7 linked regions of the Mus musculus genome follow. The protein of the gene in region 7 interacts with the protein of the main gene of each other region in a biochemical or structural test. Links are inferred from orthologs where the notes say so. Each region holds a gene or a part of one and is shown on either strand. Other genes may lie near its edges. The genes, in order: Abca1, Pbk, Kcna4, Numb, Rasl11b, Shtn1 and Lnx1.

Region 1 (3,500 bases), on a different chromosome or scaffold from region 7:
CAGCAACCTCATTTTAGAGATGAGCAAACTGAAGGACAAGTAGCCCTATCCAAGGTCACTTACCCCAAAAAATAAGGACTCAAGAGTTTGAATCTCAGAATATACATGCAAATTGCATGGTCAATGGAGGAAGTTCAGATACGGGTTTAAAAAACATTTCAAATGGGTTTCCTTGGAGGAGATTCAGAGGGTGAAAATGAGTCCTCCCCTAAAATCTGATCTCAGACAGAAATGTATCCTAAAGAGGGTTCCTGTTCTGTTGTACTTGGCAAAGAAGGGTAAGAAAGCATCAAAATTAATTTTTGGTGAATACTAATTTCCCTTAAGCAATAGGCAAGGGCTAAGACCCAATATATTATATTACTTATAACCTGTAGTTAAGAGACAGATGGTCTCCTAGGGCTTCCTCTTCTGGAGACATAGTCCTAAGAACCCAGTCAGTACTGAGAGGAACCTGCCAGACTCTGACCCAGTATAGCCCAGCTGAGGTCATCTCCAAGCACTGACACTTAACAGACCCATGACCTTAGGCAAGTCCCTCAAACTCTCAGTTAGCTCTCTCTTTTAGAAACTGTTTACCTTAGCAAACAGCCCAGAGTAACCTTCCGAACCAGAGTCTGTATAAAGTACTTTGCTCAGCACCTGGCACACTGGGCTCAAGAGATGTGTAGCACAATGCCAGTAACATGCATGCTTTCAACACAAGTGCCTTTCCTTAGACTATTTGTTTTTCATAAGCTAAAAGCCCAAGCCAATTCCCAGGGCGCTCCCTCGTCCTTCAGCAACTGCAACACAAAGAAAGGAAGAACCTACAGGCCGAAAGTTGCTCTGCCCCTCAGTCAGCCAAAGCAGTATGGAAGCCTGGGGTACCTGGAAAGACGGCTTCGATGTACCATGTCATCACGCCATAGAGAAAGGTGTCAAAGAGCATCATGGACACTGCAGTGGTGAGATTGAAGCCGTCCTCCTCCACCGGGCTCTCAAAGAGATTGTCCCATTGGACCCCGATACCTTGCTCCTCGAAAAGGGCGAAATACTCACAGCCGAATCCAAAAGCCACAGGAGACAGCAGGCTCTGAGAGAAAGAGGCAAAAGGAACTGGTCTACATCCTTGCCTCTCTCATTTTTCTCTTCTGATGTAAATTCCACCTTGAGAAGTTTGACTTTGCAAATTACATCAATTATAAGGCACGTAAATATTCTCCTAGAGTCCCTTTGGAGAAGCGGACTCACTTGCAGCATAGAAAATGATTTCATTTATAAGCACTCATTATGCAGACACGTTTCAGAAATGTATGCACGAGAGCAGGTGAGACCTTAGAACTGTATGCTTCCCAAGACATTACAAGGCTCAACGATCCTGTTCCCCCCGTCCAGCTGACATTCATCAAGGACTTTTTTCACTGATCAGTCATTGAATATTCAGGATCAGAGAAGCCGCTTTAAGGCATCATATCTAGGAGACTCAAGCTTTCAGCACTTGGAGCATCCTGAGAGCCTAATATCGTTATCAGTGACCCAGCAGGGCAGATAGTGAGTGGCCTTTATTGGTATTCTCACTTGCTTAAAGACTACACACCTACATTTCACAAAAGACTAAAATGTCCTGGTCAGGGATTTGTGGGAGGGTAAGTCATGTTTGGTTTTTTTCAGTCTGGAAAATATTTCCCAAGTCAAACAACACAATGGATAAAAGAAAGACAAGGGACAAGAATGAACCATTTGTGGTCTCAAGCTGTCCATGGACATGACCTTGCTGTGAGCTTTTATGGCCAAAGAGCTAGAAGTTAAGGGGTGGACATGGTACCTACTGCCTAAACTAGATCCATTTCTGAATGTCATTTATCTCCAACCAGTTCAAGGCACAATCTGATGATCTCTGACAAAAACCAAATCCAACCTAGTATTTACTCTAGGGGCAAAGGAGAAACAACTTAGCCAGAGGGGAGACAGGATTATCCAACACCCTGGGGAGGTGGAGGGGCACCAGGACTACAACCTCTGCAGAGAGATCAGAGTTACTTACAGCAAAGATCTTGATGGAGAAGCCCACATAGTCCTGCCAGGCTACGCACAGCACATAGGGCAGGTACAGCGTGAAGTAGATGATGCCCCCACAGGCTGCTGCCAGGTTGGCACGGGAGAAGAGCGTGCTAATGAGGAAGCACTGTAGGATGGTCACCATGGCAAACACAGACAGGAAGACGAACACCACGCTGGGGTCACTATAGGGCAGCAGGTTTCCTAACTGGAGAGGAAGAGTCTGGATAAACGTGTAGCCTTGGCAAGCCCGGCGGCTCACATACGTGATCTTAATGCTGGTTTTGACATATAATTCTTTCAGAGCTAACGCAGGGAAACCCTTGTGCTTGACTTTCTGATGAGGACATGAAGCCCATGTGAAATAACTTACTGGAGAGACTATGCATGAAAAATCACGGCAGAATTATGGTTAAGGACAAAGTCCAGGACTTTCGACTTGATCTTAGTGGATAATTTTGTTCTCCGTCTCTCACAGAGAGCAAGGAATTTGGCTTCTCCTTGTCTAAGGACAACTATTGCCTCTAAGAAAAAAGTCGTGTGAGACAACAGCCTACGCATCCTTTCTCTCCAAAAGCCTAGGAAAAAGGCCAGGCAACCTGAACTTTCCCCTGGTAAACACAGAGTCTTCATTCATCCCAAGTTCTGTGGATTCATCCTCTCATCCCAAGTTCTGAGCTCTGAGCTCATCGGTAGTCACTGTGGACACTGAACCAGGCCCTGTCAACACCCGGCTGACTTAGTCCGTTCCCACACACTGGCCACAGGATCCCTACCCTTGTCACAAGGCTTAGGTCCTTGCCCTCGGATACCAGAGCATGAGAAAAGAGTTTGTTTCAGAACAACATGCCAATAAATCTTGATTCTGCCGTCCCTGGGTATTTTAGTGAGGCTCTGACTTTCCCTGAGCACTCAATGGGTTATTGTAGGAAGGCTCCGCTGACGGAGTTCACAGCATGTCCTCTGACCGGTGCCTGGCATCAGTGAGCGCTCATATGTAATATATAGTAGCTGCTATTAGGACAAATGTTAGATTCTCCTGCTTTGCTCTCTTGCTTTCTTAGAAAACACTAACTTTTATAAGATGCATCTTTGTATGAAGTAACTATTGAAGCAAAAACGCTTAAGAGCAGATTTGTGTATGAGGCAAAAACCTCACTGCCCAGACTCAACTTTAAGGCAAGCAGGGGAAGAGGGGGGCTTACTTGACTATAGGTAAAAGACATCCAGATGTTAGGACCTCTGTTGTCATAGCTAGGAGAGCCAACAGGCCCTGGAACACCCTTTCCCTGGTGAGTCCCATGAGCCCCCGTCCAGTGACTATGAGGGAAATTCTTGGACAAGCTGTATGTTCTCCAGAACATCCCACTGGGCTGTTGAATCATGGCTCAACTTCTCCCTCTGCATGACCCAGCGCTCCACCCATCATACTAATCCCTAATAAATATCCATATTCCAAA
Region 2 (3,500 bases), on a different chromosome or scaffold from region 7:
ATAAATCAAATGCACTGGACAGTTTTTAAAGTGTATTAGTTTTTCTGTATTTCATTACTATAATCTCCATTTTACACAAATAAGGATAGAACCAAAACAAAATGCTTATACTCACTTCCAAACAATAAGGGAGAAAAACTAGCAGTTTATTTAATCAAAGTTTATCTTCAAAATTCTATTTTGAGGCTTTCAATGAAATTACAAGTAGAGAAGAAACATTTGAAGGGGAAAGGGAAGATGCAATAGTGGATCCTGATTAACGTGATTAGATAAGAATGCCTAGAAGCTGGGGAAGCTCTAGCCTATTGGGTGTGTCTTGCCCAAAGTTATTCAGTTAAAATCCATGCTAATAAGGGCCAGTGCGGGCACAGGCTGAAGACTGGGAGGCCTGTGAGCCCAACTGACATATTTAAAACAAGTCAAAGACAAAAAATATACACACTACCAAGAAGTCAATAATTGACCATGTGGCAAGGGAAGGAGCTGAGGACTCAGGAGGCAAAACAATGAAAAGACACTATTAGTTTCCAAAAATAGTTCATTTAAACCATGAAGGTTTATTATGTTTTACAATGCAAAATTGTATAAATTTAAAACAATCCTACTTACCAGTCATATTTTCATCCAATGGCAGAGAGACTCCTACATCACAGATTTTAATTGTTTCAAAATCACCTTTAATTACAACATTTGAAGACTTTATGTCTCCATGAAGCAGCTTCTTTTCTTGGTGCAGGTACTAAAATTGGAAAAAGCAATCAAATACATGAACAGAAAAATTAATAAAAACTCCTTCAATAAAACAATGACTTGAAGCCAGGCAGAGGCAGGCGGATTTCTGAGTTCAAGGCCAGCCTGGTCTACAGAGAAGTTCCAGGACAGCCAGGGCTACACAGAGAAACCCTGATTCAAAAAACCAAAATAACACCAAAAAAAAAAATACAATGATTTGAATTCCCTTTGTAAACTAGACGTAATTGTCCATTTAGATGACCTGCCATGTCATCTAAAAATTTTCAGGATGTTTGAATTCTCAAAGCCCATAAAAATTTCAATCCAGAAGATTTCCCAACACTCCCAATTTTACTTGAGGTCAATAGCTCAACTTTGATGTAATACAAGAAAAGCAGGAGACATGGAGCCACCATAATTCACAAGCAGAAGCAAAACTGTAATCCAAAGCTATATTATGTTTTATACATTAACTTCTTTTGGGGTTGCAAATAATTAGTCACATTTTGAACAGTGCTGCACAATAGCTATCTGTTCACCTATCAGCATTTGAGCCTAACTTTGAAATGAGAGGCCATTCTTTCTGTGATCTGCTCTTACACAAGAGCTTATGCTTATTTCAATGCTGCCTATCATGTGGTAAGGAGGCCCAATATGGTTACGCTGTAATTTATTCACTTCATTATATATACATACTTAAAGTCATTAGTAAGTAATTCAGATGTTTCTATCCTTTGGCTGTTCTGGAACTCACTATGTAGACCATGCTGGCCTTGAACTCAGATCTGCCTGCCTCTGCTGGAAATTAAAGGTGTGTACCACCATGCCCAGCTCTATCCTATCTAAAAATGTACTACAATCTGCTCCATAAATCAATTTCCTATGAAACCTTAACATGTAATCCTAACATCACTATCATTACACTGTGAGTAGTTCTCTAACGTCACTATTACCAGTGTTTAGTTAACATAATTTGGGGGGCGGGGGTTCTGAGACAGAGTTTCTCTGTAGCCCTGCCCTCAAAGAGCCGCCTTGCCTCTGCATCCTGCGTGCTGGGATTAAAGGCGTGTGCCACCACCACCTCAGTTATGTATATATTTCTTCCCTTATCTTCTATCTAAAACCACAGCAACATAGGTACAACACATGTTTAATTTCTTCATAGTTCACCCAAGCTGTTTAAAATACAGTGACACAGTTACCTTTAGCCCTCTGGCCATGTGCAAAGCAACTCTGAGAATTACAGCTGCTGGAAAAGGACTTCCACTGTCTTTGTTCCGCTCTTCTATTAAGTCATTCAGAGACTTTTCACCTCCATACTCCATAGCAAGGCACAGACTACCATCACTGGCTTCAGTAAAAGCACGATATCCTTAAGAAAACATGGCATTTTTCTATTAAACTCTCCATTAATATAACACGGATCTGGACTAGCACAATGAAGCAGCTACTATGTACAAAGCCCAAATAATTCAAATGCCTTCAGGTGTGTCTAGTAGCACAGATCAAAACACTTTTATTATGCTTCTGTAAACAGAAGGATTCCACCAGCCCCATGAGTACCAAAAATGCAAAGTGAAAATAGTGCAAGAACCCATCATCTAAATGAACATGACTGGTCTACACCAGGACCATTCTACATTCCTGAAATCTTCACAGGACCAGCACCAAAACAAATACTTCCAACTCAACTCCATGAAGGTTAAATACATATGCTTAAAGATGTAGAATATGTGAATTTTAAATATTTTTTATTTATTTTATGAGTATTTTGCCTGTATGTACACCGCATGCAAGCCTGTTGCCAGTGGAAGCCAAGATACTATATCCCCTGTGGATAGTTGTAAGTCACCATGTGGGTGCCAAGAACTGAACCTGAGTCCTCTGCAAGCATGGCAGGTCCTCTTACCTGATAATCCATCTCTCCAGGCCCTTATATGAATTTTTACCTTAGACAACTTACATTAACTCAAGTCCCAACAATATGTGGACCCAACGTTATTAGCAAAACCAGTAGCTACACAGAACATTGCTCTACCACATACTGCCACAAAGTATATGCAGACTTACCTATAATGTTTGGGTGATTAAGGTTTTTTAAAATCTTAGCTTCATCAGTTAGTCTCTTCTGATACACAGTTCGATAATGATCATCGCATAAAAGACTTATCTTTTTCACGGCCCAAGGAGAATGAGACAACCCTCTTGGAGATCTAAAATATACATATGTAAACTTAAAGATATAAAATGAATAAAAAAACACCAACACTCAAATTTTGCTCCATAGAAATAGGTTTTTTAAAGTATATAAAATTCTTTAGGTCATCAACACCTGTTACATTTCTGTGTCAAGATTTAACCAGATGCCCTGAAAAGCACCTGATGTCTACACTCTGAGAAGGGATCAAAGGACACAAATAAGTATGGGGGATTAGGAACTTATCAAAATACAATTAAACCTCAGAACAACTACACTGTTTTCTAACATTTCTACCCTGGCATGTCAGCCTACTACTTAATTAACATGTATCTATATGCATCAGAGATGAGTTATGGCATGCTATGATTAATATTAAAGAAACTTAAAGGCAGTTTCTATATAAACTATTCTTTCATACATACGTTTTGATCAAATCTACTTTCCACTCCCTCCCCTCCAGGTCCTCTTCTATTCCACCACCACTAACCTCATGTGTTCTTTATTTTTGAAGCCCGCTGAGTCCACTTAGTGCATGGGTATAGGACTTCCTACTGGAGCATGGGTAGCC
Region 3 (2,708 bases), on a different chromosome or scaffold from region 7:
GAGCTTGAAGATCCGGAATACTCGGACCAGACGAATGATCCTAAGGATGGCAAAGGACATGGCCTGCTGCTGCTGGCCATTGCCACCCCCCTGCTGTTGGGCCAGGTCAGTGCCCAGAGTGATGAAGTAAGGCAAAATGGAGACGATATCAATGATGTTCATGATGTTTTTGAAGAAGAGTGCTTGGCTGGGACAAGCAAAGCATCGAACCACAAACTCAAAGGAAAACCACACAATACACACTGTCTCCACGATGAAGAAAGGGTCATTGAATATTGTGTGCCCTGAGTTCTCCAGGTGGGGTGCCGAGGTGTCATTCAGCAATCTGCTGTGCCCGCCTGCACTGAGGGCCATAATAAGGTCCCTATCATCCCTGAACTCCGGCAAGGTTTCCAGGCAAAATATGACAATAGAGATTAAGATGACCAGGACAGACACAATGGCTATACCCCTGGCAGGGCTAGAACTCTCTGGATATTCAAAGAGAAGCCAAATCTGTTTTTTAAATTCATTTTCTGGCAGAGCCCTGTCCTCCTCTTCTCTCACAAAGCCCTCATCCTCCCGGAACTTGAGCAGGGCTTCCTCTCCCAACTGATAGAACTTCACCTCCTCGGTGAAGATATCAAAGGGGACATTGACTGGTCTCTTCAGGCGGCCTCCTGACTGGTAATAATACAAAATGGCATCAAAGCTGGGTCGGTTCCGATCAAAAAAATACTCATTGCGCAAAGGGTCGAAGTACTGAGTCCTCTTCTCAGGGTCTCCCAACAGAGTTTCTGGAAACTGGGCCAAAGTTTTCATTTGGGTTTCGAAGCGTAGACCAGACACATTTATCACCACACGTTCACAGCAGTCACTATAGCGGACTGAACTGTAGCCGCCACCACCCCCATCATCCTGTGGCAGCAGGTCTGTGTACGAACACCCATCCCCATGGTCTTCTTCACTATAGTAAAACCTTCCCTCCTCCTCCTCCTCCTCTTCCTCCTCCTCGTCTTCCTCTTCCTCGCTTAGCTCCCTCAGGATCTTCTCTTCAGAGCCACTGGGCATCAGGTCTGAGCAATGAGGAAAACTGCTCTGCCTGTGGTGGAGTTTCTTCTTCTCAGTTCGCTGACGCCTCCTCCTTCTACTTCCACGGCTACCTTGAGGATCATGGGAGGAGTAGGCCCCACGTGTCTGATGATGGTGGTGGGGGCCTCCACCAGAACCCCCAGTGCCTTCGACAGCAGCCGTGGCAGCTGCGACAGCAGCAGCTGCAGCTGCCCTGGAGTGAGCGAGTCTCTCCCGCTCTCGGGCCCTGGCCTGGGCTGCATAACCATAAGGCATATGGCTGTTGCACCCTGAGCTCTCGGCACTCACCATCGCCACTTCCATGGTGGTGGTTTGGGGAAATGGCTGCTTCCAGTTGTAAGAGAAGAAGAAAGAAAAATAGGGCAGCTTATTTTCTTACCAAATTAAGGTAAGTTTGGAAGCCTTAAGCAGATTGCTTAGAAGACGTGGGATATTTTCAGTCCAACTTTGCATTTTCTGTTTTTAAATCAGCACAGCCTATGCTCCCTCTTCTCAGAGACTCGGCGTTGCTTTCCAGAGCTTGCCTCGTCTAGACAACAGCCTAGTGTTCCTCAAACATAAGTCATGAAATGATGTGGTCTCCCATACACCTACGTGTTGGGGGGTAGATGTTCAAATCTGGAAGTCTGTCTGGGATGCTGTCCGGTGATGACGCCACAAGACTCAAAGACAGCAAGTATCTGACACTCAGAAGTTGTGCCTAGAAAATGAAATATACTTTTTCTTGCATGGAAATTGGCCAAGGCCCAGTCCATCTAATTTAAATAAAATTCAAATAAGTCTTTAGTCTTAGCACTTGCCTTCTACTGATGGCTTGACCCATGTTAAAATGCGGCTTAAAATATGCCCAGCCATTGCTGCTTAGTCTATGAGGGTGGACTCCCAGACCTTCCCTCTAAGGTCATCCAAGCCTTCATGGACCCACAGACAATGCCAGGTTGTAGATAGAGGCAAAGACCTTGGAAGGTAGAGAAGGTGGTAGACGCAGTTCCAGCAGAGGCAAACTCAACACTGAGGTCTCCATAGAAAGCAGGAAATGAAGAGCATCCTTTGGCTAGAATCATTCACAAGAAGCACTTCACCTGAAGAGGGATGGGAAATAAGCACAGGGGAAAAAAAAAAGAATCAAACCATAGAGAGCAAACAGCCCTTTACTCCACATACACTGCTCTTGTCCTCAGGCAAATCATGAAACACACACCAGGAGACCATAACTTTTCAAGAATACGGGGCAGGCTGCTCTAAAATCTCTCCCACTCAGCATCCACCTTGCTCTCTTCTTTTGTCATTGGTTCAGATCAGTCTGTTTGGTGGCAACTCATTTGTTTAGGTCCTGTCCATTCTCAACCCACACGGTTCTTGCTTTCCTCTGCCCCTTCACCAATGCCAGGTTTAATTCTCAATAGTATCCTCTTCATTCCACAACAGTGATGCTCTGACTTTACAGCTGTTTCCAGTATTCATTTATCTCAAGGAATTCTCCTTAAAATTTTCACTCATGGAATGTTGCTGAATTAAGTACCCTTACATTTTTCTTTTTCTTGGGATTAAAGAAGTGGGGAAATAAAACATTTTTCTTCAGTTTAGACTCCACTACTTGAATGATCATCAATTTCCTAATCATAAAATGTAGACAA
Region 4 (4,011 bases), on a different chromosome or scaffold from region 7:
CACAGTGACCCTGAGAATTAACAGTTACTACCATATCTGACAGACATATAAACTAAGGATTAGAACTTTCCGTTTACTTGCATCAGTCACATCACCATCTCTGGCAGCACAGCATTCACTCAGGTCTGTCTCATTGTAAAGCTTACAGGGTGCCCCAGTTACTACATAAGCTAGATTGTGACCCAAACCTCAGGCATGCATGGTTTATTAATCGTGAGTGTTGGTTGAACAGCATTCATTCAGTAAGTATATGTGAGCAACTCCTCTACTGATCAGTTCCAGGAAGGCAGGCATAAACAGGGAACAGGACAGTATCCTGTCCTTGCAGACTTTACCTCACTGGGAATAGGTAGGTAATGTAAACAAAGACATGTTTTAGTTTGAGACAGTAATTAAGCAAAGGTACCACAAAGAAAAATCAGGGATTTGGGGGAGGTGGCTTTGCCTTTGGGTTCCATCCCCACCAGGTTCCATGAGGAGTGAGCAGAGAGGAAGAGAGAAAAGTGACAGGAAAGGCTCCAAGACACAGAGTGCTTGCCTGCCTGGGATGTGCGGGGCTGTAGTTTTAATCGCTTGCCCTACAGACTAGAAAAAGAGTGACTGTTCACCCAAGCACCATGAGCTCTCCTGGCTCTTACCTAATATCCATCAAATCAGGAAGACTTGAATCTTTCTTTTGTCTACCAGTAGTAATAAAGATAGCTACAAATGAAGGGGGTGGGGAAGAGTCTGAGAATGAATGAATCATGGGACAAAGGGCATGGAGTGAATTAGATATTAAAGAGGTAACATTGGTAGATAAGGCCACAGGAAGAAAGAATGGGGAGTTGGGCATGTAACTAACTCAGTTGGCAAAATGTGTGCCTGGCAGGCACAAAATATTAGTTCAGTCCTTAGCACCAAACTGAGGCACAGTAGGGCATGGCTGTAATCCCGGCATTTGAGAGGTATCAAGCAGGTGAGAAGTTAAACGCCGCCCTTGTTGGGGCAGTTGTCATTGGAGGGGACTGTAGTTGTCTTTAAAAAGCGGACTGAGAGCAGTTTTAGACTCACTGTCACTCCGAGAGGAAGTATGCTAACATACTAAGCTATAACCCTCGTGTGGGCCCTCAGGGTTTGGGGTGGGTTTTGTACTAAAATGGTCATCTGAAGTTTGTGTAAGAAGTAACTTTGGTATTTCTTCACTGTGTCTTCAGGTTGTAAAAGTTAACATGAACAAACTACGGCAAAGCTTCAGGAGAAAGAAAGACGTTTATGTCCCAGAGGCCAGCCGTCCACATCAGTGGCAGACAGATGAAGAAGGAGTCCGCACTGGAAAGTGTAGCTTCCCAGTTAAGGTAAAACACACATTGTTGTGTCTGGCCAGTAGATCACAACCTGGGTTCTAGCCTGGAAAGGCATTTTGGAAACCTGGAAGAGAAGAGGGGCTGGGCTTCGGGAGATAAGGAAGGAACCCAGACAAAGCTCTCTGCTCAAGGTTCAATTTTTACTATTTCGGCACTCAGTTATAAAGGAAGGGGGAGGGGCCCAATTCCCGCCAAATAATCCAGTAGCAGGGTGATCACGTGATGCCTTCAGAACAGCAAAGCGGCAGGTTCCAGCAGTAGGCGTGGCAGAAAGATTGAGCGGGAAGCTCCACCCCTGAGCAAGCAGGTTTCAGGCTGGGGGAGGGGAGACTATAACACATATCTTTGTGGTTCTCTGTGGGGAAATAAACAAAAACATAAAAGCAAACCAAACAAAAAACTGATAGCCCATAGAATATGTAATCCTATGACTCACGCTAGTGAAGGAGCCTTCCAAAATCGTATTCTGCTTCAGTGATGGAATTAAATAAGAAAAAAATACATTGTGCAGTTAGTGATTTTTCTTTTTGTGTTTAAGTTATTTAAATAAGGCTGTGTGCTACATAATCTGGAACAAGTATAAGTGAGAACAGTTTGTGTGTGGGTTGGTGGGACTCCTAGGAGCTCACTATGGGCCTTGAGTGTGCTTGGCAAGCCCACTACCACTGGGCTACATCCCTGCCTTCTTTTTACTTCCTTGAGAAGGGATCTCACTAAGTTATCTAGGCTGTCCTTGAACTTACTCTGTAGCCCTTAGGTAGGCTTTGAACTTGTGATCGTCCTTCCTCAGCTCCTGAGTAAGTGAGGTTTCCCAGAAGCCTCCACTCTCAGGTCTGGCCAAGTAAGAACACTTCTAATGAGAACATAAGTCCTGAGACGTCTACAGATCCTCAGTTACCAAGAATTAAATCATTTTCAGTGAGGTAGGGGTTTATTTCCAGCACTCTCCAACAAAAGAAAAGTCAAAAGAAGCGCCTCTCCTCCCCACTCCCATTCAGGGCTAACTGGCTTGTTTGCTGCTTCTTCTATTTTTTTCTGAATATTTATTATTTATATGTAAGCACACTGTAGCTGTCTTCAGACACACTAGTAGAGGGGGTCAGATGTCATTACAGATGGTTGTGAGCCACCATGTGGTTGCTGAGATTTGAACTCAGGACCTTCGGAAGAACAGTCAGTGCTCTTAACTGCTGAGCCAGCTCTCCAGCCCTGTTTGCTTCTTCTTGTCTTCACTTTTAAACTCTTCCCACCATTAGTTCTGCTCTTGTCTTCTGTACTTATAATTTCTTGTTCCATCAATGCTAGATGATTATCTTGATGTTCCATCATAAAAAAAAGAAATACTTTCACTTATTTTCAAATTTATATCAGATATTTTTACTTCATTTTCTTTACATGTTTCACGTTTTATTTCATTTTCTTCACATATGTTTTCTTCACTAATGTTTACATTCTCTTCTATAAATAGTAATTATATCTCCTATATATTGAGCTTGTTCTAAAAGTTTTCATTATTAATTAGGCATTAAATTTAATGCCAATCTAAGGAATATCCTACAGTTTCTTCTCTTTGATATTATTGATTCATTGATATGTTTGACAGATAATTGCTGAATGTCTGCTGTCTACCAAGTATTGTTCTAGGAACCAGGAGTGCAGTGAGCAGCACAGACAGGATCTCTACCTAGTGTTGTTCATGGTAGTGTATGCGAGAGTGTGAGAAAACAATATCTGCTATACCAGAAAGGAATTGTGGATGAAAGAAATAAATGGGGTTGATACGGTTTAAAATATTTTGGTTATGGAAGTCCTCATTAGGGGGCAAAATGTCATTTCAGAAAACACCCAAAGAAATTCAGAAAATAAGCATTTCAGGTATTGAAGGAAACAGAATGTAGCCAAGGGAGCAACAGTGGAGTGGCTCTTCAGCAAGAGGCACCTGGCATAGTAAGGGGCACAGAGAAAACCACCTTGTATAGAACCAGAGGAGCAGGGAGCCATGAAAGCAGGTAGGTAGAAGGTAGATTCAGTAGTTCAGTACTTTCAAATAATATCACACCTACTAGCTGCATTTTTTGATACAATACTCTTTATAAATTCTAAATTACTATTTATATTCAATTATGTATATGAAGAAGTAAATTTTGCTAAAATTTGTATCTAGCATGTACAGTCTTCTCTCTTTTTTTTTAGATTTATTTATTATATTTATATGAGTACACTGTTGCTGGGATTTGAACTCAGGACCTCTGGAAGAGCAGTTAGTGCTCTTAACCGCTGAGCCATCTCTCCAGCCCCTCCCCCCTTTTTTTTAATCTTTTTTTTTTTAACAGTCTTCTCTTGATTGACTTAGTTATATTTGTGTGAAAGTCACTGCATGTGTGCATATTTAAAATAGAATTAGAGTCAGTAAAAGATACTCTGAGTAAGCTTTTTCTATATTACAAGTGCCCAATATTAGATGTGTCATATATTCATTCTTGGGCCCTTGCCTACTAGCTAGAAGTATTGTTCCTACAAATGATCTCATTACCGTCCTTAAACACTGAAAAATTATTTGCCTAGAACATTTTGGGGGTGGAAGTTGGGAGATACAGAGTCTTGCTACATAGATCAGGATAACCTCTACTAGCAAGCCCAATTCCATCTTAAGGATTTTGACTTT
Region 5 (4,052 bases), about 430 kb from region 7:
AAGCCATTCTCGTGCACCTGAGGAGAAGAGGGAGAGCAAGGTGAGCAGCTAGCAGTGGGCACGGCACTGAGCTCTGGCCACAGCACATCCCTCAATTCAAAAGAACCCTTCATAGCGATGGATGGCGGGTTACGGGTTGTAAACAAGTTCTATTCCCCACACACTTGGGCTTTCTTAACAATATGTTGATCCAGCTGCTTGGAGGGAATAAATAACAGGGCAGCTCACCACACTCAAGTGGAAAATGGACCTGCAGAGAACTCCACGCAGAGCGACTTTGTAGTTGCACAAAATGGGAAATTAACTGGCTAGACAGTAAGTCTGGGGAAGATAGGAGCTGGAAGCATTTAAACCTGGATAACTGCCCAGTTCAGGACGGGGAAGGGGGGAAAAAATCCTAGCAGAGCTCTTTTGTCTACAGAGAAACTTTCCACAACATAAAAGTGATTCCGGGTGTTGGAGACTGGGCCTGAATATTTGGGTTTTGATGCCAAAGGCACATAAATAAAAACCAAAGGAAGGAAGTACTGCCAATTCTAAGGGCTGGTTTGGTTCCCCCTGCTCCGGTGATTCCCCTCCTACAAGAGGGGCTCCCCTTCTTCTCCCAGCTCCCCAAACTGAACCGGGCCAAGGCTGACCTGCGGTCAGGTACAATTTAACTGTCAAACCACAAGTACCGTCTAGACCTGACTGCCCACATCTCGTGTCCCTTACACTTAAACAAGTGAGCAGTGCCTCAGCCGCCGGTGTCTGCTCTGGCCCTGTCAGCATCAGTGTCTCACCTGGATGCCCGGAGTGTCCTGGACCTGAATAGCCAGCGTTTCTCCTTCTATGTGAACTTGTCTTGTGTAGAGATTACCTATGAAGACAGAGAAAGGAGAGTGTGTTCCTCTTTCATGTGCAGCCTCGGGAAACATTATGGTTTGGGTTTTTGTTTGTTTGTTTGTTTGTTTTTAATGTACCACGACTTGCACCGATACACACAAGAGAAAGATGTGATTTACTTCTAGTTAATGCACTTAATTCAGATCTTGTTTAAAGGCCACGTGCAGTCTTAAGCCCCTGCTAGTAGATTATCAAATTTTATCAAAAGTAGGTCAAAGTTTGTGGGTTTTTAGAAACTTGCTGGTCTAATTTTAACTGAGTTTCCATATTTAGAGTAGTTCCACGGAGGAAAGTTTCTGGCTCAGTATACGCAGGGTTTCTGTTTTTATTTTATATTATCATTCTCTGAACAGTTATATTTTGCCCACAATAGCTTCATAAGCAAACACGGTTAGTAAATGCACAGTTAGCATCCCTCTTAGCATGAATATGTGCCATGATTCTGATCAGCTCTATATCAAAGCAGAAGGCCACCAGGTCTTATCTTGGGACAGCTTATATGGCTCATTTCAACTAAATCCCCAACTGGTACTTAATACAAGTCTACTAATTTAACCATACAGTCTACTTAGTTAAGCAATTTGCTCTCCCCCTGCTAGAATCATAGCAGCTACTTATTTGTCTTTGTTAAGGAAAGAACTTTAGGCTTACAACTCTTCTTTGGCCTTTGCTTTCAAAGGTCGCCCCTGAAAGGCAGCCAGCAGAGGGAGAGGGTGGGGGAGGAGCTTGCAGCTGGGTTTTTTGTTTGGTTGGGTATTTTTTTTTTTTATGACTTTTGCAGGCATGTTTTAAAGGACAAGGCCTTGGAGTACAAACGGTGCTTCCAACTGGGGTCCCTATAGTTAAAACATACCACAGGGAATACTTTCGGGCACTTGATAAAATGATGAATGCGCCAAGAATGGAATGAGGCCAGATGGCAGCTGGGGGGAGGGGGAAGGGGGAGGGGGAGGGGGCGTGCAGAATTGGAAGTAGCAGAATCTTGATGCTAAACACTGTCACTCTGAAGGAAGTGTCCTTAAAGGTACTGAGAAATGAGGGCGGCCATCCCAACAGGGTTGGTCTCCGTACGTTTCCTCACCTGCATTTCGTTCGTAGTCCCCGATGAATCGTTTAGTGAGGAATCGGACCACCAAAGCTGCAATTCAGAAAAGAAAACAGACTGTTAACCCACTAAGTTAGACGGTTCTCCACCCCACCCCCACCTGGAAAACAACTCTTCCAAAGAAAGTCACAGCCGGCCACCGAGGGCTCCTTGACCCTCTACCAGACACAAGGAGGTAGGAGTGAATTACAGCTCTGCCAGCAGGAAGGGTCTTGAGGCCCAGCCCCTCCGCGGAGCCCAGCTGGGCCACACCTAAGCCTTCCAGCAGGCAAACTTCTTCCTAACCTTACGGAACTCCTGGAGGGGTTACAATCACTAGCTCCCCCATTCCGCCCCAGATCCTGCCAAAAGCCCAAAGCCCCAAAGTTCTACTCTGGCCCGAAAGTCGGCGGGACGCTCTGGGCCCCAGTGACCCTCTTCGTTAAAGCAGAGACATGAAGAGGCAGAGGATCCCACTGCAACGCCCACCGTCTCTCAGTTCCAGTCCGAGCGGGGGTCTCCCACGTCCCGCCCCTCCACCAAGCGGGTTCCTCGCATGGACTCACCGGTCTTGCCCACGCCGCTGGCCCCTACCACGGCGATCTTAACGAGCCGGCGGCCCGCAGCCCCCAGGCAGCAGTCGGCAGCGGTGCTGCCTGGGGCGGGGTACTCTGCGATGGTACACATGTTCTGGATGAGGCGCATCGCCGCTACGGCCCGGCTGCACGGAGCGGGGAGGAAAGTCAGGACAGGAGACGGCTCGCGCTGCAAGGAGAGGAGGGTACCCCGTCGGAGGGCGCGCGGGCAGAAACTGGAAAGAACGGGAGAGCGCGACGAGAAGAGAGGCTCGGGGGTTCCGGATCGCGGCTGGGATGGCAGCCGCCGGGGCGCGGGTTTTCTCTGGCCCAGGCCCCGCCTCCATTCCAGCAGCCAATCCCCGAGCGCCCCGCTCGAGGCCCCGCCCACGGCCTGCACTACCAGGCTGCGCCCCCACAGGAGCCGAGAGCGAGTGCGGGGCCCCGTGAGATCCGAGGAAAACAGGGCGGCCGGCGCGAGGGTGGCAACGTGCGGGACCCAGCCGGCTCCCGCTGCGCTAGCACGCGGCCGCACCGGTGCCTGCGGGGTCACGGGGTCTCAGATCCGCGTGGGGGGATCTGGCCGTGTCTGCTGGGTCTCAGGTCCACGTGGGGGGAATCTGTCCTTGCCTTCATAGGAGACCTGGCGTGTCCGCGGGATCTCAGATCCGCGGTGGGTTTAGAAGCACCCACCCTTGTCTGCCAACCTCGCCGCTGGGCCTCCGTAGGTCAGTCCCTAGGCATTCTCTGAATTGGGTCCCAGGTCCCCTAACCTCTCTGACCACTGGCTTCTCCACCTCTGACCCCAAGGAACCTGCTGGGAGCCCCATAGGTCACTGCCCTGTTTGGCCCTGCCCTATGTTCTGCTCGTGCGCTCGACATCTTTGCACTGACTTGGCTACATTCAAAGTATTATCCTGGATTATACATTTTCCCCATCCTTGTATTCCTAAACAAAGGCACCCCTCCGTGACCCAAAATGTGGCGTTTGTCTTTGGGGCAAAATACCTATTTTGTTCTAGTTCTTGCCAACAGTGCAAGCCCACGAGAAGGCACACAACGTGGAAAGCAAGTACCGCACCCCGAGAGGCAAAGCCAGGCTAAAAGTCACTAGAACAAGCTTGCATGGCTAGCCCAGTCACGCCTCCTCCCAGATCTGTGAAAGGTAAGACAAGAAGTCAGTGCAGCTGTGGATTGGACTCACCGGGAGGCAGAGGGGCCCCACGGTTAGCCTAGTCATAAAGGTTAGTTAAAAGTGGCTTGTCGCCAAGGAAGATGAGGAGTCTAGCACTCATAAAAATACCAAGTACCCCCGTGTCCTCATCAGAGAAAATCACAGACAACTGCTGGCCAGATCCCAACTTCAGCAACCTACTTTATCTATCGCCACCAGCATGCCCTTACAACCCTCAGGGCCTTTTATCTTGGTGCCTAAGAGCAAAGCCTGTGGCATTTTGTACACCTTTATTGAAGGTAGAAAAGCAAAAGAAGCTGATTCCAGGCTCAAC
Region 6 (3,500 bases), on a different chromosome or scaffold from region 7:
TGGCCATGTGGCTGTCTCTGTGCCTTTAACTCTTCCAAAGAGGAGGTGATGCTGAAGGAGTATGGATTCCATGTACTATGCAGATTGTGTTTCACCAGGCTGGAGAGGTGGCTCAGCAGTTAAGAGCACTTTCTACTCTTCCAGAGGACTTGAGTTCAGTTTCCAGAACCCACATCAGGTGTCTCAAAACAATCGGTGTGACTTTAACCCCAAGGAACTATGTTCCCCCTTTTCACCCTGTGCAGATACCCTTGTAGACATATACATGCACACACAGAGACACACTTGCACACATAAATAATAAAAGTAGATCTTTTAAAACTGTGTGTTCTACCTGTTCTGAGCTGGTGCATATCTGAATTTTGCACAGCACTATAGCTGCTTCCTAGGCTTCTCTGCACAGAAAAAGAATAAAAGCCCAGTCAGTCATTGTGTGTGTGCAGGGGCGGAGGTACATCTGTGTGCAGCTTATACATGTTTGGAGGCCACAGGTCAACACTGGGTATGTTTCCACCTTGGTTTTTGAGACAGGGTCTCTCATTGAACCTGGAACTCACTGATTGGCTGGACTGAGGGGCCACCAACCTTAACCCCCTTCTAGCCATTTTTTTTCTCCTTCTGGGACATTGGAAAGAAAACATGAATGTGTTTGTATTATACAATTTGTTGTGAGTTTGATTGACCAGGACTAAGCTTGCAGACTGTGTAAATCACTATAGTTCTAGTCTTTTCACACAGAGGTTTGTAGAAATTTTATTTGGTCCTGAGTTACATTTGCTGACATTCATGTTATACAGCAGATGAGGTTGCATGTGTGCTCTATGTTGAGCCATCTTACTGTGCACACCTTACATACAGTTAAGCTACAGTGTCAATATAAGATGCAGTAAGATCCTGACAGTGTAACTCTTTGCTGGTCTGAGACTTCTAGTCTGTGAAATAGATCATGCTTTGAATTGTCCACCATCCCACTTGGTGTGACAATGGAGAAAATAAATAACAGACAAATAGAAAATAATGCTGCCGTCAATTTTGTCAGCGTGAGAGAATTAGCAAGTCCTGTTCATAAGCAACTCGATAAAATGTTCAATAGATGTTAATATTGTCTCCTCTTCTTGGAACGCCTCTTGTGAACTGTTTCATCACTGGGGGAAACTAACCAGTCTAAAACAGTCTAATAAAGAGCAGAGGGGGTGAGTCGGGTGGTCAAGAGGCTTGGCTTGCAAATGAGCCTAAGCTCTGTCCTTGATACCTGAGCATCCTTGGGGATCCTTGTTCTCGCTGAGCCTTGGCTTCCTTATCAGGACAATGTGATGGTCATGTATCTATTACCATGTATTAGCAGTGTTAACTGGATACAGGGTGACATCTGCCATGTTGCACAGTGGTTAGTGAAGGTTTCCTAGCCATAGTAGAGAAGTCGGCGAAAGTAAAGCATAAAGAGAACCCCCCCCCTGGGTGGGGGGCACAGACATGTCACTTGTAGTATTGATGTATTTTAAGCCAGTAGGAGAGCATTTAAAATCAAGGTGTATAGCTGGATTGCTGTATCCACACCTTGCTTGGGGTAATGACTTTGGTCTTGAAGTTCATGGGAAGTTGGGGACTGCATTGTGGCTGCTCAGGAGCTCCTACCTCAGGCATTTCCTTCAGTGTCCTCAAGAGCTCCACCCACTGCCATTCAATCTGCACAGGGGAGCTGCATGGTTGGGGTTGGTATATACATTTTTGTAATTGACTTTCACAGATGTTCATTGAACAAAACAAACTGAAGAGACAAAGCCACCTTCTGCTGCAGAGCTCCCTTCCTGACCAGCAGCTTTTGAAAGCTTTAGACGAAAACGCAAAACTTATCCAGCAGCTTGAAGAAGAGAGGATCCAGCATCAGAAAAAGGTAACTGTTTTTATTCTGCAGCTGTAGACACACACACACATGTACATACACATGCATGCATATACATGTGTGTATACAGCATACATGCACACACATGTACACACAGGCACATACACCCACTTGTATGCACACACCACACATAACCACAGCATTCATACCCACACCATACTACACACACCACATATACACATACATACACATGCATGAATACTCACATGTGTACACAACATACATGCACACACATGTACACACAGGCACACCCCCCACATGTATGCACATACCACACATACTTACACCATACATACCCACACCACACTACACATACCACATATACACATGCAGACACATGCATGTATACACACATGTCTGCACAACATATATGCACACACATGTACACACAGGCACACATACCCACATGCATGCACACACCACACATACCCATGCCTCACTACATATACCACACACATGTACATACACATGCATGTATGCATATATGTGCACACACCATACATGTATGCACATGTACACACAGGCACACCCCCCACATGCATGCAAATACTACACATACCCACACCATACTTCACACACACACACACACACACACACACACAGTCTGCACAATCACACATTAAAACAATCACACATTAAAACTGTGGCCTTCTAGAGGTTCATATTTTGCCTTGCTTTTTAAGTCCTAAACATCTTTGAGAAAACAATAGTTACCAAGTAAATTTTGTGTACTGCTCAGCTAAAGTTTATAGCCTACTGACATGGAGTCTTTAAAATGAGTTTGAAAAAGCAAAAACAAGGATTGTAGCCTCAAGTCTCTTTGAAAATGGTATGGTTTGCAGAGATGACTGAATACACTTAGGAGAATGTATTGGTCTCACAGAGCTTGTTGAAGGGACATTGACCTTATTCTGAGAAGGAAGGAAAGGAAAACCTGTCAGTAGTCATTTCTCTCTTAGTTACAATTTCTAACCATGCAGACTTACATAGATATCTGTAGGGCTTCTTAGCTCTTTATTCAGTTTCCAGTTAATGCAGCCCAGGTCCCTCTGTGCCCTTGTGATAGGGGAGAGGAAAGGGAAGAGGTGGAAGAGAGACTCACAGGTGCCACCTCAGAGTGATGACATCAATATTTATAGGTCCTCACATCAGAGCAAAGGTCCCGACACATCTCCAGTTTTGTTACATCTTGCAGTAAGGTCAGGCTGGACTTCCGCTTCCTCTGTGGGAAGTGTTGGCAGGTTTCCAGAAAGCCTCTGCTCCCCAAGGCCAAAGATGAAGAATTTCTTTTTCTGCTTCCACATGTAGGAATCACCTTTCCAGAAAGAAAGAGTGTTTGAGTTTGTGTACATGTGTACATGCATGTGCACACATGTGCAGTGTACATGTATGTAGATGTGTACATGTATGTGCATGTGTGTTTAGCTTATGTTAAAATCTAACTTTTGGTCCTAAGAAGACAGATTATATTTGTTGTTAACTTGGCTAGTAGATAATACATGCTCAGAGCTCACTAAATTGAGCTGGACTCTAGGAATGAGTTGTTTTCTATGTTCTTGCCTGGCAAAGGAGCAGAGGTCATTGTGGGTGGAACTAT
Region 7 (3,500 bases):
TTAAAAGGAAGGCCACAGAAGGATCAAGAAGAGGAAGAGAAGAAAAGTAAGAATTGGAGAAAGAAAAGAGGGACCACCGAAACAAAGTCGAAGGGAAAAAGGCAGAGAAGACAGAAAGGGATACAGTAACAGAGAGAAGAGAGATACAATGATACAAAGAGAAGTGATTATAAATAGAGAGATGGGGGAAGAGTGAAAGATCCAGAAGTGTTATACTAGAACTCTTCATAGGAGATTTACATCAATGTAACTGTGGAAAGAAAGTATCTATCTTCATTTCATTCTATTTATCCTGTTTGTCATCTACCCATCCACTTATCTGCCCGGCTACGCATCCATTCATCCACCCACCAGTCCACTCATCCATCTAAACATCCATTTGCCCATCTACTACAATTGGCTCTGAAGGATTTTATTTATTCATCTATGCACCCACTTATCCACCCATCTTCTCGCCAGTCATCCATCGCTCTTCCCACCTACCCATCCAACCTTTAAGGACTTAAATTATGTGCCACGCACAGCCTACAGCTCACAATCTTGTAGCCTATGGTTACAAGCTCACGCCTCATGGGCACCTTGAGAATGATGTCTCCTGGCAGCAGCCGTCCATCTCTGGCAATCACTCCATCGCGATAAATATGCTGGATGATGATGTGGACCAGCGGCGTCTCGCTGCCCCCCACCAGCCTTATGGAGAGGCTTTCGCTGGGATCCGCTCTGTTGATTTTGATGCTTGTAATTTCACCATCTGGAATCAGGTGAAACAACCTTGGGAAGACTGAAATGGACAGAAACAGTATTTGTTTCAGACATCTACTCCACGGGCATCTCCAGCCACTCTGAATGCCAAGCTAAACTGTTGACAGTTCCCTGTGTGTGGCACCACTTTCCTGCCTTGGTGCCAGCATTCTCTACTGGAATGTTTTTCATCCTGGGCTGAAACCCAGAATTTCCTTCAAGGCATGCACAAAATAATTCCAATTCAACTCTATCCCAATCTCTCTTTTCCTCATTGTCACTAAACACACGATTCCTATAGACTGTTCTCATGGCATCCAGCCTTCCATTACTGCTGTCTGTGTCCATCTCTCATATCACGATCTGGACTCCATAATCTGGCAACTGGCTTTGCTATCAGGCTCATGTAGCTGTCTTAACCTGGCTGTTCCCGATGTTAATTTGACAGACTGTTTCAATTAATGTTTAAACTACTCTGATTACATTGTGGAGGCGGCACTTTCTGGCTGTCCCATGGTTTTGTGCACAGATCTCTCTACACACTGGAGCCTCCGGCTGATGCTTACTGCTTGAATAGGAACGAACTAATGAACTGATGTCTTCAGGGAGTGAACTGTGATTTCATTACTTTCTTATCCAGGAACAAAAATAGAATCTGCTCTTCTGTCCTCTGCTGAGGTCATTTAGGAAGATCTGAGACTCTGCTTTTCAGGCCCCAGTAGTCATCAGCCCTCTGGCAGATACTGCTGTCAATCACAGCAGTCAAAAGACCTGGTTGACAGGCACGGAGAGGCCAAGGTCATGGTCTTACAGCCGTCTCCTTAAGACGTGTTCCTCATCTACCTGGATCACTGACCTCAGTGCTAAAGAGAAGATCAAAGATTGAGTGAGCCACTGTTGCCTAACCTTAGTATTTGACCTGAGTCAGCTTTCTCCAGGAGTCACGTCTTAGCTCCCTCCTTGTGGCTGTGGCAGACACAGAGTAGCTGTCTAGGTCACTCTGAGGCTACACAGTGACAGACAGTCCTTTATGAATGTGTGTGTGTGTGCAGAAAGGAAGCTGTGGAGTAATATGGCCTCAGAGTCGGTGAGGAATACCAGGCTTCTGAGGGTTAGCACATTTATGGCCTCAATAGTTCCCCAGGAATCATATGTTCACAGCCAGGTCAAAATCCACAGGGACAGGCCCTAGAGATCAAGAACTAACTGGCAGAAGCACTGACTGGCACTGTTTTCTAGTTCAGTTGGAACAGAAGTATTTAGAGGGGACACCAACTGCTGAGAACAAGTCACGCCTAGGCTAACTGGGAAGTGGCTCCTTTTGTGTAGCTCAGACACTTAGGATGCAGAGGAAGAGACATTCATGCCCAGCCTCACACTCTTAAATGATGTCCCTTAGAGCCAGACCAATGAGATCCTTGTGGCTTTGAAGGGTTAAAAACGTTTTTAAACTGCCAAAATTGTCCTAGACAGGACCTGAAAGAATTCGATCAAAATTTTTTGTCTAGAGATTGTAGGATTTAAGAATATTCTCTGTACATTGAACTAGGACATTGGGACTCTTGTCTTCAGTCCTCACTGACTGACACATGTGGATTCTAATCCCTGTTTCTGAGTGAAGAGTTAGATTGGCAGTGGGAAGGAGATGGAGGATGCAGGTTGGCCAGTAGCTGGGAGGCATTCGAAGCCACACAGGCACGTGAGGAAAGAGCATGGTGAGCAAGTGGTGGTGGTGGTGGTGGTGGGAGCGGCAGAGCCAAGCCAGGAGTCTCAGATGCTGTGCATGAATTTTCCAAAGCACAGTAAATAAAACACCTGGGACTTTAACCTTCAACCCCAAAGACAGTTTTGGAAGGTGTTAAAAGAGCCAGAAGCATCAAGTTAAAATCCTATGCTTGCACACACACACACTCTCTCTCTCTCTCTCAGTGTGTGTGTGTGTGTGTGTGTGTGTGTGTGGTTTTGTGTGTGTGACTTTGGACTACTTGCCTAACCTCTCTGGATCACTCTCCTTAGCTGTGAACTAGGATTGACAGTCTTTTTTTTTTTTTTTTTTTTTTTTTTTTTTTTTTGAGACAGGGTTTCTCTATATAGCCCTGGCTGTCCTGGAACTCACTTTGTAGACCAGGCCAGCCTCGAACTCAGAAATCCACCTGCCTCTGCCTCCCGAGTGCAGGGATTAAAGGCGTGTGCCACCACACAGTCTTTATCACTTCTCATTCTTTTGACACACACACGACTCTTTAGAGCATTTGCTGGTACGTGAAGAGCTGTTGTGACTTTCCATGTTATTGTTTTACTATAGAGTTTCATACGAACCAGATTGCTGCACACTTGCACGCCCACTACTCTTAAGAGGCAAACGTAGGAGGATCACGGCAAGTTTGAGGTCAGCCTGATCTACACAGTAAGTTCTAAGGCTAGCCAAGGCTACAACGTGAGGGCCTGTCTCAGAAAACAAATGTTGATTTAACCTAAAGGCTTCAATATGAAATGAACAGAATGTCTTTTCAGATCCACTTATATTGGGAAACATGTACCATATATGCACACTAAGATATGACAGCTTTCTCTTGTGGCCCCAAAGGTCAATACTGTCGTCATTTGGAACAAGTTGAGTGACTTCTGTGTGTCTTGGTATATGCTCCTGAAAAATAGGTCGACAGTGGAGCATCTTGAGAGCCACACCAGTGAGATACCAGTGACCTGGAAATGTGCCGTGGTCATGGGGTGTCTGAGCACATAGAACACTTAGAGCA

What was found.
Region 1: of the proteins of Lnx1 (region 7) and Abca1, one has a biochemical effect on the other in vitro, tested with the Homo sapiens proteins (2 studies listed by BioGRID and IntAct, with this or other methods). The link is inferred for Mus musculus from reciprocal best matches to the Homo sapiens genes LNX1 and ABCA1.
Region 2: of the proteins of Lnx1 (region 7) and Pbk, one has a biochemical effect on the other in vitro, tested with the Homo sapiens proteins (2 studies listed by BioGRID and IntAct, with this or other methods). The link is inferred for Mus musculus from reciprocal best matches to the Homo sapiens genes LNX1 and PBK.
Region 3: of the proteins of Lnx1 (region 7) and Kcna4, one has a biochemical effect on the other in vitro, tested with the Homo sapiens proteins (2 studies listed by BioGRID and IntAct, with this or other methods). The link is inferred for Mus musculus from reciprocal best matches to the Homo sapiens genes LNX1 and KCNA4.
Region 4: of the proteins of Lnx1 (region 7) and Numb, one has a biochemical effect on the other in vitro, tested with the Homo sapiens proteins (2 studies listed by BioGRID, with this or other methods). The link is inferred for Mus musculus from reciprocal best matches to the Homo sapiens genes LNX1 and NUMB.
Region 5: the proteins of Lnx1 (region 7) and Rasl11b form a complex in vitro, tested with the Homo sapiens proteins (2 studies listed by BioGRID and IntAct, with this or other methods). The link is inferred for Mus musculus from reciprocal best matches to the Homo sapiens genes LNX1 and RASL11B.
Region 6: the proteins of Lnx1 (region 7) and Shtn1 form a complex in vitro, tested with the Homo sapiens proteins (2 studies listed by BioGRID). The link is inferred for Mus musculus from reciprocal best matches to the Homo sapiens genes LNX1 and SHTN1.

What each region holds. Positions count from the first base shown.
Region 1 is NC_000070.6:53,079,896-53,083,395, forward strand, and holds part of Abca1 (phospholipid-transporting ATPase ABCA1), read right to left. Parts: intron 2,249-3,500; coding exon 2,027-2,248; intron 1,076-2,026; coding exon 871-1,075; intron 1-870. UniProt on the Homo sapiens protein: Catalyzes the translocation of specific phospholipids from the cytoplasmic to the extracellular/lumenal leaflet of membrane coupled to the hydrolysis of ATP.
Region 2 is NC_000080.6:65,812,411-65,815,910, reverse strand, and holds part of Pbk (lymphokine-activated killer T-cell-originated protein kinase), read right to left. Parts: intron 2,946-3,500; coding exon 2,803-2,945; intron 2,105-2,802; coding exon 1,935-2,104; intron 740-1,934; coding exon 610-739; intron 1-609. UniProt on the Homo sapiens protein: Phosphorylates MAP kinase p38. Seems to be active only in mitosis. May also play a role in the activation of lymphoid cells.
Region 3 is NC_000068.7:107,293,589-107,296,296, reverse strand, and holds part of Kcna4 (potassium voltage-gated channel subfamily A member 4), read right to left. Parts: intron 2,154-2,708; 5' UTR 1,375-2,153; coding exon 1-1,374. UniProt on the Homo sapiens protein: Voltage-gated potassium channel that mediates transmembrane potassium transport in excitable membranes. Forms tetrameric potassium-selective channels through which potassium ions pass in accordance with their electrochemical gradient.
Region 4 is NC_000078.6:83,839,544-83,843,554, reverse strand, and holds the start of Numb (protein numb homolog), read left to right. Parts: upstream 1-1,211; coding exon 1,212-1,337; intron 1,338-1,631; exon of another isoform or gene 1,632-1,701; intron 1,702-4,011. UniProt on the Homo sapiens protein: Regulates clathrin-mediated receptor endocytosis. Plays a role in the process of neurogenesis.
Region 5 is NC_000071.6:74,194,074-74,198,125, reverse strand, and holds the start of Rasl11b (ras-like protein family member 11B), read right to left. Parts: upstream 2,801-4,052; 5' UTR 2,675-2,800; coding exon 2,536-2,674; intron 2,024-2,535; coding exon 1,967-2,023; intron 860-1,966; coding exon 783-859; intron 18-782; coding exon 1-17.
Region 6 is NC_000085.6:59,020,570-59,024,069, reverse strand, and holds part of Shtn1 (shootin-1), read left to right. Parts: intron 1-1,747; coding exon 1,748-1,894; intron 1,895-3,500. UniProt on the Homo sapiens protein: Involved in the generation of internal asymmetric signals required for neuronal polarization and neurite outgrowth.
Region 7 is NC_000071.6:74,622,904-74,626,403, forward strand, and holds part of Lnx1 (E3 ubiquitin-protein ligase LNX), read right to left. Parts: intron 782-3,500; coding exon 579-781; intron 1-578.